Linked DNA regions of Arabidopsis thaliana. The protein of the gene in region 1 interacts with the protein of each later gene in a pairwise test. Each region holds a gene or a part of one and is shown on either strand. Other genes may lie near its edges.

Evidence for each region. Proteins that work in one complex are often made in the same cells at the same time.
Region 2: the proteins of GTB1 (region 1) and IWS1 interact in a two-hybrid assay, tested with the Arabidopsis thaliana proteins (one study listed by BioGRID).

What each region holds. Positions count from the first base shown.
Region 1 is NC_003070.9:24,308,856-24,316,464, forward strand, and holds the start of GTB1 (global transcription factor group B1), read right to left. Parts: upstream 5,785-7,609; 5' UTR 5,677-5,784; exon of another isoform or gene 5,604-5,676; intron 5,524-5,603; 5' UTR 5,473-5,523; coding exon 5,442-5,472; intron 5,318-5,441; coding exon 5,225-5,317; intron 5,014-5,224; coding exon of another isoform or gene 4,972-5,013; intron 4,710-4,971; coding exon 4,580-4,709; intron 4,342-4,579; coding exon 4,278-4,341; intron 4,174-4,277; coding exon 4,023-4,173; intron 3,945-4,022; coding exon 3,824-3,944; intron 3,741-3,823; coding exon 3,503-3,740; intron 3,405-3,502; coding exon 3,216-3,404; intron 3,142-3,215; coding exon 3,034-3,141; intron 2,942-3,033; coding exon 2,555-2,941; intron 2,482-2,554; coding exon 2,374-2,481; intron 2,268-2,373; coding exon 1,488-2,267; intron 1,106-1,487; coding exon 1-1,105. Other genes in the region: GLC (HXXXD-type acyl-transferase family protein), read left to right, coding at 7,020-7,481. UniProt on the Arabidopsis thaliana protein: Transcription elongation factor that enhances the transcription elongation by RNA polymerase II (RNAPII).
Region 2 is NC_003070.9:11,556,328-11,564,684, forward strand, and holds IWS1 (Transcription elongation factor (TFIIS) family protein), read right to left. Parts: upstream 5,573-8,357; 5' UTR 5,460-5,572; coding exon 5,440-5,459; intron 5,208-5,439; coding exon 4,751-5,207; intron 4,665-4,750; coding exon 4,545-4,664; intron 4,462-4,544; coding exon 4,241-4,461; intron 4,160-4,240; coding exon 4,030-4,159; intron 3,945-4,029; coding exon 3,882-3,944; intron 3,795-3,881; coding exon 3,717-3,794; intron 3,640-3,716; coding exon 3,548-3,639; intron 3,456-3,547; coding exon 3,399-3,455; intron 3,310-3,398; coding exon 3,138-3,309; intron 2,918-3,137; coding exon 2,819-2,917; 3' UTR 2,428-2,818; downstream 1-2,427. Other genes in the region: AT1G32127 (plant viral-response family protein), read left to right, coding at 848-1,194, 1,834-2,281; AT1G32140 (F-box family protein), read right to left, coding at 6,415-6,999, 7,316-8,357. UniProt on the Arabidopsis thaliana protein: Transcription factor involved in RNA polymerase II (RNAPII) transcription regulation. Involved in transcription elongation. May function at post-recruitment and elongation steps of transcription.

The DNA of each region.
Region 1 (7,609 bases):
CTTGATACCTCTGCTTTTGAATCGATTTGATCTTGCATGTGAGGATATCGCCTTCTTTCAGCTGGTCCGCCAAGTCAACAATATCTCTCCCATCATCTGAGAAATCTTCCTTCATAAGCATCCCAGTTAACCCAGAATCTAATACACATATGGCTCTTCCATTCTGCAATCTCCGAACACTGGCCTGGACAATTCTGCCCTCCGCTATGGTGTCCTCAGTTTCACCTGAAATCATGTAAAATTCTTCATCTGGACTTGGCTCTTTAAATGGTATCCGCCAATCCTGGAAACCACAACTTAATTCTCTTATGATATTGCTATAAGTTTCCTTCTTATTCTCCCGTTTCTTGCTGGCAAGATATTCATCAAGGACAACTTTTCTCAAAGAAGCTGGCCGATCTCTCACATGCTCAATAGCCATTTCTATCGCATCCTCATCATCATTTGAATCACCTCTGACATCCTCATCATATATATCTTTCGCCAATTCTTGAGCAAGACTATACGACTCTGGATGGATTCTGGTGTCATCCAATAAGTCAATAAATTGACTGCTACTAGCAGCCAGCCCACTTCTGCGGATGCGCAAGAAACCGGCAGCATTTACAAAAACCTTTTTACCAAGTCCATGCATTATCAGGTCCTTGCGGACAAAGATTGAACCAGCTCTTACAAGCGACCTCTGCAAGGATGCAGCTTTCCGAGGCCCAAGTCCAGAAATGAACTGTAAAGGAGAAAAGAACCAATCATGGCTAGCTGCCAAGTTAATATCGATTCCAACCTGGTTTGTAATGTCAACCATAACCTGCTCAACCATTCCATACTTCTCATCTAGCTGAAGAAAATTCTCCAAGGGATGAAGCTTCCAAGACAAAATTTCCCGACCTGGACCGCATAAAGTTGCCACCATTGCTAGTGGATTCTGGAGATAGCGTCCAAGAGCAACTGCACGTCTCACGTTCCCTGACTGCTGAGGTAGCTGTTCACCCGAGATTCGAGAATTTTCATATAGCCTAGGAAGTGATTCATCCACATAAACAATGCTTAAATCATCCATCCCATGTCCGACATCTCTAGGTTTTTCCTCCACCATCTGGAATATGACCTGATATATAGAATAAAGCATAACAAAATTTTACTATTCAAGAGGAGTAGTTATGAAAATTGAAACACAGCGATTAAGTTTTCACAAAGTGATATAAAAGCAGAAACTTAAGCTTATTTCATCAGATATATAACATTATCATTTTCGGTAAAGCAGTTGAAGTCTAAAAAGGTATAGCGAGTTTGAAAGTATTGATGAAAAACACACAAAATCCAGGTCTCTACAAAGTAGGCACTGAGGAACTAATTAAGTAAACCAGTGACCACAGTTATCCAGAACCATATGGATATAGGTCCTTTATCTCAAGATCAAACTCGGAACATGTACATTGCAATAGCATAAGTCAACGAACATAGTGTCATTATGGTATATGAAGTCTTACCTCATAAATATCATCCTTCAGACGAGTACAAGACAAATTGACAGCTCCTAAAGCCACAACATGCGGTTGGTGGTCCATCATAAACTTTAAAACACGATCCTGGTCACTCTTTTTACGTTGCTGGTCGTTAACATTTTGAGATCGCGATGTAAGGGATCCAGCATAAAGCACGTCAAGCACCTCACCTGATGAGTCCAGCATCACAAATGTATTTGGTGGCTTCCCAGGTCCCCAACAACATGCCATGACCCTCGGTGCAGCTTCCTCATCTAAATTAATGTCCATTTCTTTCTTTTGGTATGGCCCTGCAGACACCTTGTTCCACAAAGCCTGTCCATACTCTGAAAGCAACCGACTCTTCGCTCTGCTAGTTAGCAAGGATCTTGCTTCTTTCTCCATTGATGGCAAAAGAAAAGCATGAAGTGCATCCTCCAATATCAACTTTCTTTGCTCATTCCAGAGTTGAGCATACTTACTAACACCAACACTTAGATAGTGTTCATTGCAGTCGCTAATTAGCCTATTCATGTAATTCTCAGGCAGCTTGAAGGTTACTTGAAGAAGTTTCTCCTCTTCTCCCTTCTGAATGAGAAGCCATTGTGCACCCTCAAACTTGCTCAATGGCTTTTCACGCAACCACTTAATCCCAGAAAACTGATGGAACGAATCAATTACTGTATTTCCATCTGCTGTTGGACTTGTTGAGACCACTGCATTCTCCATATAAATGCCACGGACATACTTTTTGACTGATGGCTCGCAACTTATCTCAACTGCAGCCTAACAAGGAAAAATGGGATATCTCCGCATTAGTGATTAGGGAAGTCCTTCTGATATTAAACCCAGCTAAGCAATTCAAAAAATAGTATTATTGCAGAGTATATACCATATGCCGTGCACCTTTCAGAACTGCCAGAGAATTTTCAAACATTGCGCACACAAAGTTTTTAGCCATCTCCTCTGGTGTTTCCTTTGCATCCTCAAGCTCATCAACCTGCAACTCATTTAGCGTCAGAACTGCCATTCCAGTACAACATGCAAATCAAACAATATAAAAGCATACCGACCAGTTTTTCTAGGGACAATGCAAGTCCCAGTTGCTCAGCACTATACCCAAATTTGTTTGCAACCTCCCAGAGCCCTGCTTTACTGCAGATGCTATATTGTGATTTCCTTTTCGGCCTCTTATACTGCCCTTCATCAACACCAATTTCACCGGGAGGAAAATGCAAGTTGAACTTGGAATCTACATCATCAACTTCTCTTTCTGTTTCTGCAACTTTAAGAGACTTAATGACTGATTCAAAAAGATACTGATTTAGATTAAGTCTTGTTTCATCATAGACCCTCCTAGACTCTTCTTCGTAACGTTTTGTATAGTAACCATGCAACGCCATTTTCCTTTTTCGAAGAAGGAGCCACTTCTTATCCAAGTCATGAATCATCCAGAAGACCTGCATTGGAAAATAGTATAGAATCCACCAAATTTCCTCTGACAATAAATGTTAACCTGAGCACTTGTTGTTTATCCAAGATAATTGCTTACCTTATGCCACTTGGTCTCAGGTTTCTTGCCTTGATTGGCGCCATCAAAATCACCAGTGTCCAACAAGCTCCGGCATTGCTCCTTTCGGTACATAGCTATAAACGGTATCTAGAAGAGACAGAAAACATTAGCAAGCTAATCAATGAATCAAAGAAAATCCAACGAGAGAATGAATCCAAAACCTCTAATTTCTGCACATGATGTAGCTCCAAAAATTTTGCGATGTCATCCTTATTAACCGAGAAACCCCGCCCATCAAAAGTTCCATCAGATTCTCTAAGTTGGGAAGCAAGTTGAGCATATATCCAATTGCTTTCTTCTTCAATGCTAATTTCATCTACAGGAGGGCTTCCGGTGCTTTCTTCAGATATCTGTCAAAGTTTACAAGATATCTTTACATCTATCCTTGAACACCAAAGAAAACATAGACCACAAGTATACATAGAGAAAACTAAAGAAGATAATGCACCTGCATTCTCTCAGGAATATCAAGCTGGCGGATTTCATCATCATTCCCTGTCATATATTTCTCAGAAAGAACAGTTGGTTCAAACTCATCTTCGAGCCTTCTTTCCATCCTTTGATTAGATGCCAAACCCTTTTTGCGAATTGTTAATAATTCGTCAACATCACCAAATATTTCATTAGCATCTCGCATAGCAGTAATATCTGATCCCTGCCTATATTTCTTTTTCTTCGAGTTGCCCCTGAAAAGTAAGTTGATTAGAATCAGAAAATGTACATGACATAAGTGATATGTTAGGGCACAAAAAAGACAGAAAAAAAATACCTCTTAGGAGGACCATGCTCATCATCTTCATCTACAATAAAATCTGCCATTTCATCCTCGCTCCCAACTACATCTTCTTCCACAACTAAGTCTTCCTCATCACCTACATCATCAGGTGGATCTAGTAGACACAAAATGTACATAGTCAACTATGTGCCAACAGTCAACATAATAGTATCAGAAGGCACAGAGAACCTACCATCAACATCAACATCATCAAACAGCCTGTCTTTGATCTTATCCTCAGCACTTCTCCTAGTTCCACCTCTACTATCAAACTCATCATCGGATGATTCTCCCTGGCCATTTCCCTGTTCCCTTTGAGCTTTCTTCAACCGCTTATACTGCCTCTGTCATGGTTCAAGAAAAAAGTCAAATGTATTAGTACTGCACATATATTTTTAGTGTATCTACAAAATCCTGATGTATTGTTATATACACAAATATGACTAACCTTTTTGAATTTGACGTTGTTATCTTGTAGAAGCAAATAATCATCTTCATCAAGACCTTCGTCCCTATTAAAATTATCATAAATGGAAGGTTAGTCAGAAAGAGAACAGACCTGCTATAGTTCGTCTAATGGTAACTTACATACTCATCACAAACAATGTATGAAAATCACAAATAAAGACTGCTGAGAATTAAGGGAACATTTCTTCAAAAGTATCATGCATGTCAACACTAACATTTAGTTTTTCATATGTTAGAAAAGGATAAAATCTAAGAGAATGAGTAAGGATATAAAATATTCACTTTTTCTTTCGTTTCTTCTTCTTTTTCTGCCTCTCCTCATCGCTATCTTTCCTTTCTTCGTCTTCTTCCTCTTCTTCCTCTTCGTCTTCATCATTCACTATGAACCCATCATTCTCATACTCATTCCCAACTACAAAACAGATATACGGATCCCACATCATGGAACAAAAATAGCCTGAATCTAAGTTAAAAAGCCTAGAAAGAAAAAGAAAAAAAAATACTCAAACCCAAGGTGAGAGAAATGTGTGCAGCTCAAAACTTGCAGAAACCATGAAGTCTAAAAAGGAACAAATCAAGCAACCGTATGAAACAGAGAATATAGAAACAAGAAGTGGTAGAAGGAGAGACTTTGCAGCAGATAAGTAAACATCTAAGAAACAAGATGCATTCACTTTTTTTTTTTTTTTGGTTGCCAAATCCAGACACTGCATCTTCTAATGGAGCAAATGCAGCAGAATTTCTCCAAATGAATCGATTTTAAGACAAAGAACTGCATGCGCTTCAGTACTAAACCAAACCATACCACTAATTTCCTTCGATGCAATCAGACTCTACAGCTTCCAGATTTAGGGTGGTAAGCAAAAAGAAACGAAAGACGACACATTTCTCACTGGGAGAAGTCAAAATCAAGGAAAAAACTTATACCGTCATCATCATCTTCTTCATCATCGTTTTCATCATGCTCAGCTGGATCTCCATGAACTGGCTCTCCGTCGTCATCCTCAAGCTCATGATCCTCTACGCAAAAGAGAAAAGGATTCAATTTTTTCATACAAATCAGAAGAAATAAACAAAACCCTAGTATTATTACGGCGTTTCACACAGAAAAAAATTAGGGTTTGCGACGAAGCGATTAAGGTACCTTCATCGTCAGAGATTGCGTTCCTCGCCATGTTTATCTCAACAAATTAGAAGTACGATAACGCAGAAATTAGCCCTGCAAACTGCAAAAAAAAACGAAGAGATTGTGATTATGATTTCTGATTTTGCGAAGAGAAAGGGGGAAGAAGGTTCTCGCGATTACTAGGGTTCTTCGAAAAGAGAACCCAGAAGGAGCTAGAGAAGAGAAATGGGTTTGGTAAAGGAAGAAGCTTTACCAGTGTGAATTTTTCATAAGCGAAAGGCGACGAAGAACTGATAAACGAAGAAGAAGACGGAGACGATGAAATTACAAGTTTATACTGACAGATTTGCCTCAATTTTTTCTCTGCGTTTTAGAAATATTTTTTTTTTAATAATGTTTTTAAAAATTATTATACTTTTTGAAGAAATGTAAAGAAAAAAAAGTCGAGACTAAAAACAAAACAAAGTTTATTCAACTTATCTTATAATTAGAGTGGAGAATATTTAATTCGATAATTCGAAATATAAGAAAATAGACATACATTAATAATTAATAAAAAAACGTTACATCGGCTAAAATGTTTAAACAATTATTTAAATTTATATGATAAATAAAATTAAAATAAATCTAAATCGGATTCAAATTTAAAAGTTTGTCTATAGATTAATTTAATTTTTAGTTAAACAATTTAATTTTATCAAAAATATAAAATTTTAAACTGTGAAAAAGTTTTAAATCTTATAATTGATATATTTAAAATTAAATAACAAGTTGATAATAATATAAACATTTGGACATATATAAAAATAAATATAACACTAGACAAATTATATTGTAGGACAAATTTTACACATGAGGCCCTAAAAACTTTTTATATTAGGTGGCCTAAAACAAATGTTTCGGCTTTTTTATGAACGGGCCGGGCTTGGATTCGGCCATATTTTGAGTTCATGCCTTTTAATATGGCAAGAAAAAGGTTAGAAACTAGACTAATTGTAGATTGTAAGTTTGTAACCGTAATGAGATACTGCAAATGGGTAAAAATCGTATTATTCCATAAACCACAAATGGAGAAGTCAAAGTTTGGCAAATATCACAACAAAAAGGTTGATATATCACATGCATATTATGTAGCTACACCGACATATCAAAGTTCTCCTATCAAATTTTAAAAAACATAAATCACCAACCCTACTCACACCCACCAATGCAGCCCATCATTCTTCCCAAATCTATAAACACAACACAATAATACAACAGTGACAATTTTAGCTTTTAAAGAATAACGTTTTCATGTGACTGGATAAAAACGACGTCTACGTAGCACGAAACTGCTTTGTTTGTTCTTGTAACGATCCGTACCATATCTTTTTTTATTAAAAAGTCACATTTATTATGGGATCAATAATTTACTCTCCATGGATTATTTCATACTATAATGTACACGTACATTATCATAAAGCCAAGATAAAATTAAAAACGCCTTTTACTACGTGTTAGTCTATATAATATAGATTAAGTCTGAAACCCAAATCACAAACTTCACTCAAAACCTAATTAACTTAGAGAGAAAGAGAGAGAGAGAAGGGTTGCAAAATGGGTTCTTCGTACCAAGAATCTCCACCGTTGCTTCTTGAAGATCTTAAGGTTACGATCAAAGAATCAACACTCATTTTCCCATCTGAAGAAACCAGCGAGAGAAAATCCATGTTCTTATCCAACGTCGACCAAATTCTCAACTTTGACGTTCAAACAGTTCATTTCTTCCGACCTAACAAGGAGTTTCCACCGGAGATGGTCTCGGAGAAGCTGAGAAAGGCGTTGGTGAAACTCATGGACGCTTATGAGTTCTTGGCCGGGAGACTCCGCGTGGATCCTAGCTCTGGACGGCTTGATGTTGACTGTAACGGTGCTGGAGCTGGCTTTGTGACGGCGGCGAGTGACTACACGTTGGAGGAACTTGGAGATTTGGTTTATCCAAATCCAGCTTTTGCTCAATTGGTTACAAGTCAGCTTCAGAGTTTGCCCAAAGATGATCAACCCTTGTTTGTCTTTCAGGTAACCAATAAATAAACCTTTGCTTTCTAATTTTTTTTGTTCCAAAATGATCCTAAATCTAGTTAACAAATAACAAGTTTTTTTTTTGTTCTCTTTGCGTTTTGTCTTTTAATCAGGAAGAAAGAAAA
Region 2 (8,357 bases), about 13 Mb from region 1:
CACTCCTCAAGCAATTAACCTCAAAAATCTCCAAAATCAAGACAAAGAAACCAAAATGGTTGAATCAAAGGTGGAGTAGATCCACACAAGGATCCAAAGCGTTAGCTATCAGAAAGATAAAACAGTGTTCTTCGTCAAAATGTGTGAAGGTGAAGAGACTTGAGAGAGTTCAGAGTTATATTGTATTAAACACGTGGCATTTATAATTTCAGATTTTGTTTTATGATAGAAAGAAATAGAGAGTGATTAGTTTACATAATAATGAGCTAATGACAAATAATAAAAAATTCTTGATGAGAAGATCAGATTCTCTCAAATGCTCTCCCATGTGACATGTGTGGAGATGATGAATTTATTAATCTTCCTTGTATCATTGACCTATTATTGCTCTCCTTTTCTCCTTAAAGGTTTCATTTTTAACCCTCTTTAAGAATTTTGTTTTGTTGAGGTTGATCCAAATTATTTCTTTCTGGGGTAAAGTCTAGATTTTTATGTTCTTCTGATCCAAAGTTTCTATTTTTGTTATCTGGGTTTTGTTCTGTTCTCAGTTTCGTCACGTTTTCCCCTTGAAAAAACCAATTTTGTTTTTGAGTGAAGTTTCTAGCTACTCCTCTATAGCTTTCAAACGTTGACCAAATTTGTTTGTTCTCTCTCGTTTTCATCGACGACTCTTGACTTTTCTGAGAAGTTGGGTTTATCTTTTGATCGAAATCGACAAAAGAAGAATCTGATCTGCAATTTCCTTACAGGGTATATATATATACTCCTCTCTTTGGATTATGGGTTTGGAATCTGTAGCTTTCTCTTGATAGTGAATGTTCTATCTTGATCAGGAATTGTAAGAAAGATGGGTTCTTTCAAGGGTCATGCTTTGCCTGGTACATTGTTCTTGGTAGTTGGAGTATGGCACATTTGGAGCTCAGTTGTTAGATACATATCGAATCCTAGTTCATTTCGGGTTAGAGTTTGGCATCCTGTTCCTGGTTTCAATGATAGGATCAAGTACTTGGAGCTTTACGTTGTTACTATTGGCTCGTTCATTGACTTGTGCATTGAGTTCTTGTATTCAACTCATCTCAAGTTCTTTGTTAATGGTGTTTTGAATCCTTCCCATATGAATGACTTTGAGCACTCTGGGATGCTTCTCATGTTCTTCATCCTCGGATTTATCGCTTTGCTCTCCGAGAAAACAAGGTATTAAAAATGTTCTGTTTAATGATACCATTTATGGCAATGATAGTTATGGGTTGGATCTTTGGTGAGTTGAGAAATCAAAAGTTGTTTAAAGTGATTCTTGACTTGGTTTTTGATGAAAACTATCCTAGAAATGGATCTAGATCGTTGATAATATGATTCAGTTATTGATAGATTCATCAAGATTGGTATTTTTCTTTGAAGTTAGGTTGGATCCTTGGTGATTTTGAGAACTCAAAAATAATTAACTAATGATTCTTGACTTGGTTTTCAATGAAAACTATCCTAGAAATGGATCTTGATCATTGATAATAAGATTATCAATAAATCAATCGTCAAGATTGGTATATAACTTTAAAGTTAGGTTGGATCTTGGGTGAATTTTGATCCTAAATATTCATTATTCTAGACTATGGTTGTTAGATCTAGATCGTTGATAATATATGATTTGACTATAGATAGATACATCAACTTTGGTATTTAGCTCTGAAGTTAGGTCGGATCTTTGGTGGTATTGAACTCAAAAGTGGTTTACTAGTGATTCTTGACTTGATTGTTAATAAAACAACCATAGAAATTGATGTAGACGAATATATATGAATCAATTTATTCATCATGATGCTTTATTTTTTGTCTTAGGTTACTTCCTCTGCCACAAGAAGCTCTGTGTCTAATCGCTGCAACAGCTTTTACGGCAGAGTGTCTTCTCTTCTTCTTCCACTCCACAAGCCACAAAGGTCTTGAAGGTTATTACCATCTCCTCCTCGTCTTTCTCATCGGTCTCTGCGTCATCTCCTCAATCGCTGGAGCAATCTGCCCTACAAGCTTCCCAGTAGATCTATGCAATGGCATTGCAATGACTCTTCAAGGCCTCTGGTTTTATCAGACAGCTTTCACTCTGTATGGCCCTATGATGCCTCAAGGCTGCAGTTTAAAACAAAACTCTGTAGTTTGCAGATCAGTTGATTCAGAAGTCTCAGGAGAGTTTCTGGCTAATTTTCAGCTCTTTTCATTGGTTCTTGCTGTTCTTGTTTGCGTTGTGGGTTCATATGTTTTTGCAGCTTCAAGATTTGGAGTAAGTAGATGAGAGATTTAGTAAGTAGAAATTAGGATTTTGTTTTCCTCTTCTTCTTTGTTTCTGAATTTCAGAAAGAAATAAAGTAATAGTCTTTTTTTCTTCATCTGCATTTGGAGGCGTTTCCGTTTCAAGCAACCAAAACTTGTGAAACACACATAAAAGTAGTCTTTGTGTCTGCAAATAACGAGCCAATTTTGAGTTATTTAGTGTCATTGCTTTATTTTCTAACAAACAATATAGCAGAAAGATGAATCTCAAAGAAAGAGGACAAAGTGTTTATTGAAAACTCACTGAAAATTGATTATCATAATATTTTATGCTCTGAAGAAAGAAGTGACGAACAAAGTGTTTTCACTTCCCATTACATTAGAGGCTCAAAGCAAAGCATATATAGAAGAGTACATATACGTATAACCCCAATGCCTTTAAGTCTTCGACTTCACCTGAAAGACCTTTAAACACTGATCCAAGCAAAGTTGGAAGATTAACACGATAGAAGGAACCAATTTCAATGTGGATGGATGGTATGGTCTGGTTGTAACCTCTCTAGAGGTACTTGATCATACCCCGACCTTCAACGCTCACTTTCGTAGCTTGTAGCCGCTTCTTCTTTGTTCCTTTTAGCTGCTGAAGTTTCTTGTTCATCTGCAGTTATAACACAAAAGAACCAGCTCAAGGACTATTAGAGAAAAGAAAGAGCAACAAAGGGTTTTTGTTTATATACTGTCACAAAAAGGTCTCAGATTTTGAGCCAGTACAAGGCTTTCTTGAAAAGGATTTCACTTGTATTTACCATACCAAATCAGTACTTAGATGGTGTTTTGTTTGTCAGTGAAAAAAAGATAAACGGTAGAAGTCTTTTTACCTTGACCCGACGCTGGTCCTGAGAAACCTGTTTTGCACGGGCTATGATCTCATCTGGATCAATCTTGGATTGAGGACGGATCAAAAAGTCCAATGGGGTTGCTTCCGGCCTCATCGTCATTTGCCTGTCTCCCCTTGAACTCTGACCCGAAGTCAGACCAGTTTTACGTTCCCTGCATATTTTTCAACAAACAATGAGTAATGTTAAAACATAACTTTTAGAAGTTCATATATCTACAAATTTGGAAGATTTTTTCCATACCGAATTTCCAAGTCAAAGTCACCATCTCTGGACTCCATTGTCGCTTTGTTGCTAGGTCTATCCCCAGTAGAACAAGAAGAGAAGCTATGAATCAGTATATGAAATGTGAAAGCGAGTAAAATAAAAAAAATAAAGGTTTCGGGAAATACTTCTTCACTGGTGGTCTTCTATAGGGAACCCTATCTTCATCGAGATTTCTCATGTCCTCAAACCTAGTACTCTTGTTGAAAATTGGACGAGACTGCATCATCAAGTATACAGTAAGTAACTGGCTGGAATTTGATTCGAGGGATTGGAGCTCTTGAAAAAGATGATTACCCATTTATCAACCAAATCCTTAGCAAGTCGTCTGTTGGAATTAGTTTCCTCGTCGGACTTTGATAAGAACATAATGACCTGCCAAAGCCAGAACAAATTTAAGTTCCTGAGTATAAATCCTACATACCGATTCTTGTCAATTTGAATCAGGTAATGTATCCTAACCTTTCCAAGCCCACTCTTTTTCAATTGCTCCCTTCTATCATACTGGTCCAAGTCAATCGGAAACTGCAAGACAGACTCAGTAATTGGTAAAGCAGCTAAAAAGGCTCAAAATCACGGAAAAACCCTCAACAGGAAAACAAGAGCATACATCAGTAAGAACTCTTAGAATAGCTGCACGGATGTTTATATTTGGCAAGCTTCCATCTGGAAGAGGCTCAAGCCAATTCTTCAACAGGGTTAAAACTCCATGGTCCAGGAATTCTGTTTGAAGCTGCTTCCTGGATAACGAAAAATAAACGTATTACAAAACAGATTGTTAGAAAGAAACAGTATAAGATAACAGTAAGTTAGCAACTTACTTTCCAAGTACATCGGTAAGAAGCGAAAGTTTCTTAAGCTTGTTGATAGCAGGCTTCCCCTGTCTATTAAGTTCTGCATCTTCCTCAGCAGTAACCTCAAGCTCAGCCATCACATTCTCAACCAAAAGCGCAATTTCCGCAGGATTTCTTTCAGTCTTTTTCTTTTTCTTCCCCATTTTGAAAAGGTTATTTACCTCATCTTCATCCTCACCCTCTTCTGCCTGTTTATTCATAACAAAAGCATTTTGTATCAACAAACAAAAGCTAGACTCAAAGATCAAAATTGAAGATACACTACTCATACCTGAGGATAATGAGTTGGAGAACGGTCTCCAGCGTCACCTCCATACCTCTCAGAAGGATCCAAACCAGTATCGTCAATGAAATTATCATCATCCATAGTCCTAACACCTTCTTCATCATTCTACAACAGAAACGAAACACTTTTATAAGTCGAAAAAACAAAATTCTCTCTCAGGCAATCTTATAACTATAGTCAATCTACTGCACCTCTGGGTTATGAGCAATAGATTTCCACATCTCATCAATCTCTTCTGACTTCCTTTCGCCACGATTCGGAAACTTATGCCTCTTCTCCTTCCCACTACCACTACTACTTCTCTCTTTCTCCTTCTTCCTCTTCCTACCAACCTTATCATCATAATCAGTACTACCACCACCTCTTCCTCCCATAAACTCATCAAACTCAGCATCATCCACATCCTCATCAATCAATTCCGGAACATCAATAGTCACACGTTCACTAGAAGATTTCTTCACCAATCTCTTCCTTGGTTTAGCTACTTTATCATTATCATAAACAGGCGTTTGTGATCCTTCACCATCCCAATCTCCAATATCATCAGCCAGATCTTCATCAAAATCCTGAAGTGGCTCTGTAGATGGCTCGCGATCATTCCCAAAATCATCAAAGTCCACTATTGGCTCTCCATCTACATCACGGTACCTGGAAAAAAAAAATACAAAATCTTATGAATCTGAAACACAAAGGATTCAAATCAATAGGAGATTGAATCTGCCCATGAATCAAAACACTCTCTTTTCACAAAAACGAAATCGAAATTTGGGAAATTGAAAAGAGATCGATTTTGGTAACCCTAGATTCAATCAAAGGTGGGATTTTTATCTGCACAACGAAGCTAAAAATATGAAATCGAAGAGAAAGGATTAGAATTTACGGATCATCCTCGAAACCCATTTCTTCTCAGCTTCCAGAAAATGATTCGAAAGAGATAATTTACGAATTCTTTGATCTTCGAGTTGTTGTGAGAGGCGAAGAGGAGGGAAGGGAAGGGAAGGAAGAATTTGGGATCGGGCTACTATGGAATATTCGACGGTCACGATTGAAGAATTATTTTAACAGTTTAGATCTCGCCACGTCATCAATTCTCTGAGTAACAGCAATTAATTAGTATTGACTATTGACTTCGTGTTAACAAAGTCAACTGTCTCTAGTCAAAAGAGACAAAACATTAGATCAATTACTTGTGAGAGGAGTTGTGAGTTGTGACTAACTTTTACTTGTCGTTTGAACCGACTACAAATAAATATTGATGGTTTGGGGATGTTTATAATCTATACATCAAAAATGGTTAAATCGATATCAAACTTTGAATGGCATATATGCTTTCTAAAGCATAAGAGGGCTTGGTGCCTAAGATTGATGTTAACGAATTTGAATTCAAGTATGAATCTTGATTGCATTAGCTTAACGTCTTAAATTGGTGCATTACAACATATATTTGAGGATGTTGCTCTGTATACATGGACCGAGGATTTATAAAAAAAAAAACATTTTGAATCCCGCATATTTTGTCTCTCTATTGACTCATTCATCTACATTATACAAGTGTTCAAAGTCCTCGTACTCGTCATGATTCTAACATATCTAGGAACCTTCCGTCATATAATTATCTTGAACGGTTTAAGCCCCTATTCGAGAAACAGTCATGGTCGTTGTCTCTATACCAAGTGTTGGAACTAATTAATACATAGCATTGTGGAAAGCAAAATCCAGGTTCCTATATTAAGAGAACTAAACAGAAACAAAATAAAGATCGAATATTGACTAGTTTTGTTTAGAGAACATTGCAAAAGAAAAGAAGAAAAAAAAATCAAAATGAAATGCAAGAAAGATATAAGCATTGCTAGTGTTACACCTTGTTGCTTAGTTTCATCTGCTTGTCTTTACTTTTGCGCTTCGTCTTCTTCTCTTTCCTTTTGCGTCCTGCATTGTGGTTGATTTTCACCAAACTTGGAACATAATAAGAGCAAGAGCACACAAGCGGCGAAAAACAATACACGCGTTCTCCGACCTCCACAGATTCTTGGGAGTTTGCAGCTTTTTCAAGATCCACTGTTCTCAAATATCTATTATCTCCAATGACGTAAGCCGTAGAGGTTTTAACTTTGTCTGAACTAAAAAACACGACAACTTTCTTCTCTTCGTCAATGAAAAAACTGTCATTACGATCATCAAAGCGAAGATCAATGCATGGTTTCCTATCAACTCTTAAGAATTTGCTCCACGACTCGACATTAGGATCAATCTTAATTGTCATCCATATCTCTATCATCACACATGTATTTTTCCAGTATAACACTGCGACTGCAAGTTTCTCTTCTTTAACAGAAGATAGAGTCCAAGTATCCCTAAAAGAATGTTTAAACGGCAGAGGAAGAATCTGTCCAAATCTCTCGGTTGTAAAATCAAAACACAGTATAAAATCATATCCATCCTATAAATTTTTATCACCATGGGAAAGAGTAACTATTGTTTTTTTATCTACAAGAACTCTTAACATATCCAAGCGCCTGTAACGATGCGTTTTTGAGACATTTATCTTTGGTGGGGGAGGGGATAGAAGAAGTTAGTTCAAGTGGAGAAGAACTTTCTCGTACGAGTAGTTTTTTATCACATGGTTCTGACTCAGAAACAAAATAATAATCGACTAATCTTGTTCAAAGGACATTACAAAACCAAAAAAAAAAAAAACGCATGAAAATGAAATCATCAATTAGTCTTCTTCTTTCCTTCAACTAGTAGAGATACACCTTGTTGGTTCGCTTCCTCTTACTCTTCCTCTTCTTATCTTTCCTTTCATGTTCTGCATCTTCTTTAAATTTCACTAAACTTGGAACATAAGAGCAAGAGCACACAAATGGTGAAAAAGAATAAATGCGGTCTCCGACCTCCACAGATTCTTGTGGGTTCACAACTTCATCAAGATCAACTTCTTTCAAGCATCCATAATCTCCAATGATGTAAGCCGTATTGTTGCGTTCAGATTCGTCTATATCAAAAACCACGACGATTTTCTTCTCTTCGTCAATGAAGAAACTGCCAGAATCATCGTTAAACTTTAGACTAGTGAGTGGTTCCATTTCAACTGCTAAGAATTTGCTCCATGACACCGCATTCGGCTCTATCTTAGTTGTCACCCATACCTCCATCTCATAGGTATAGCAGCGCTGATATAAGACCGCAAGTTTCTCTCCTTTAACACAAGATAGTCTCCCAGTCTCTATAAAATCATGCGAAAACGACAAAGAAAGAAGTGGTCCAAATTTCTTTGTTGTAAAATCAAAACCGAGTAAGCAATCATACCCTTCCATTACTTCTCTTCCCTCAGTCAAAAAATAAGCATTTCCATTTAACGACGCGCCGGGCTGATAACATTTTAACCCCTTGTTGGGAATGCCATAAAAACAATCCCATGAGTCAGAAGAGTTCATGTCGTAAATCTCGTAGTAGCCTTGTTCAGAAAAAAACCTCAAGATCATGTGGTTCTTGTTGTTGTCGTACCCGAGAGCATATGTAACGCCTATGTGGTAATCATTCCTAGTTTTGATCCAACGAATTTCTCCCAAATACGGGTTCCAAACTACGAGCTTGCTTGAGTGGTTCCTTGTGACGCATAACAATAAACCTTCGCAATAAAACACTTTAGATATCTCGACTTGATTAAGTAAATTACCTATTGGCTTTATAGATGGATCAATGAACTCTTCACTGTTTTCATTGAGGCCGATTCCATGGAGATTGAATCTCATGGAATAAAGCCTATGATTCATTATCGTGAACCCTAAAAACTGA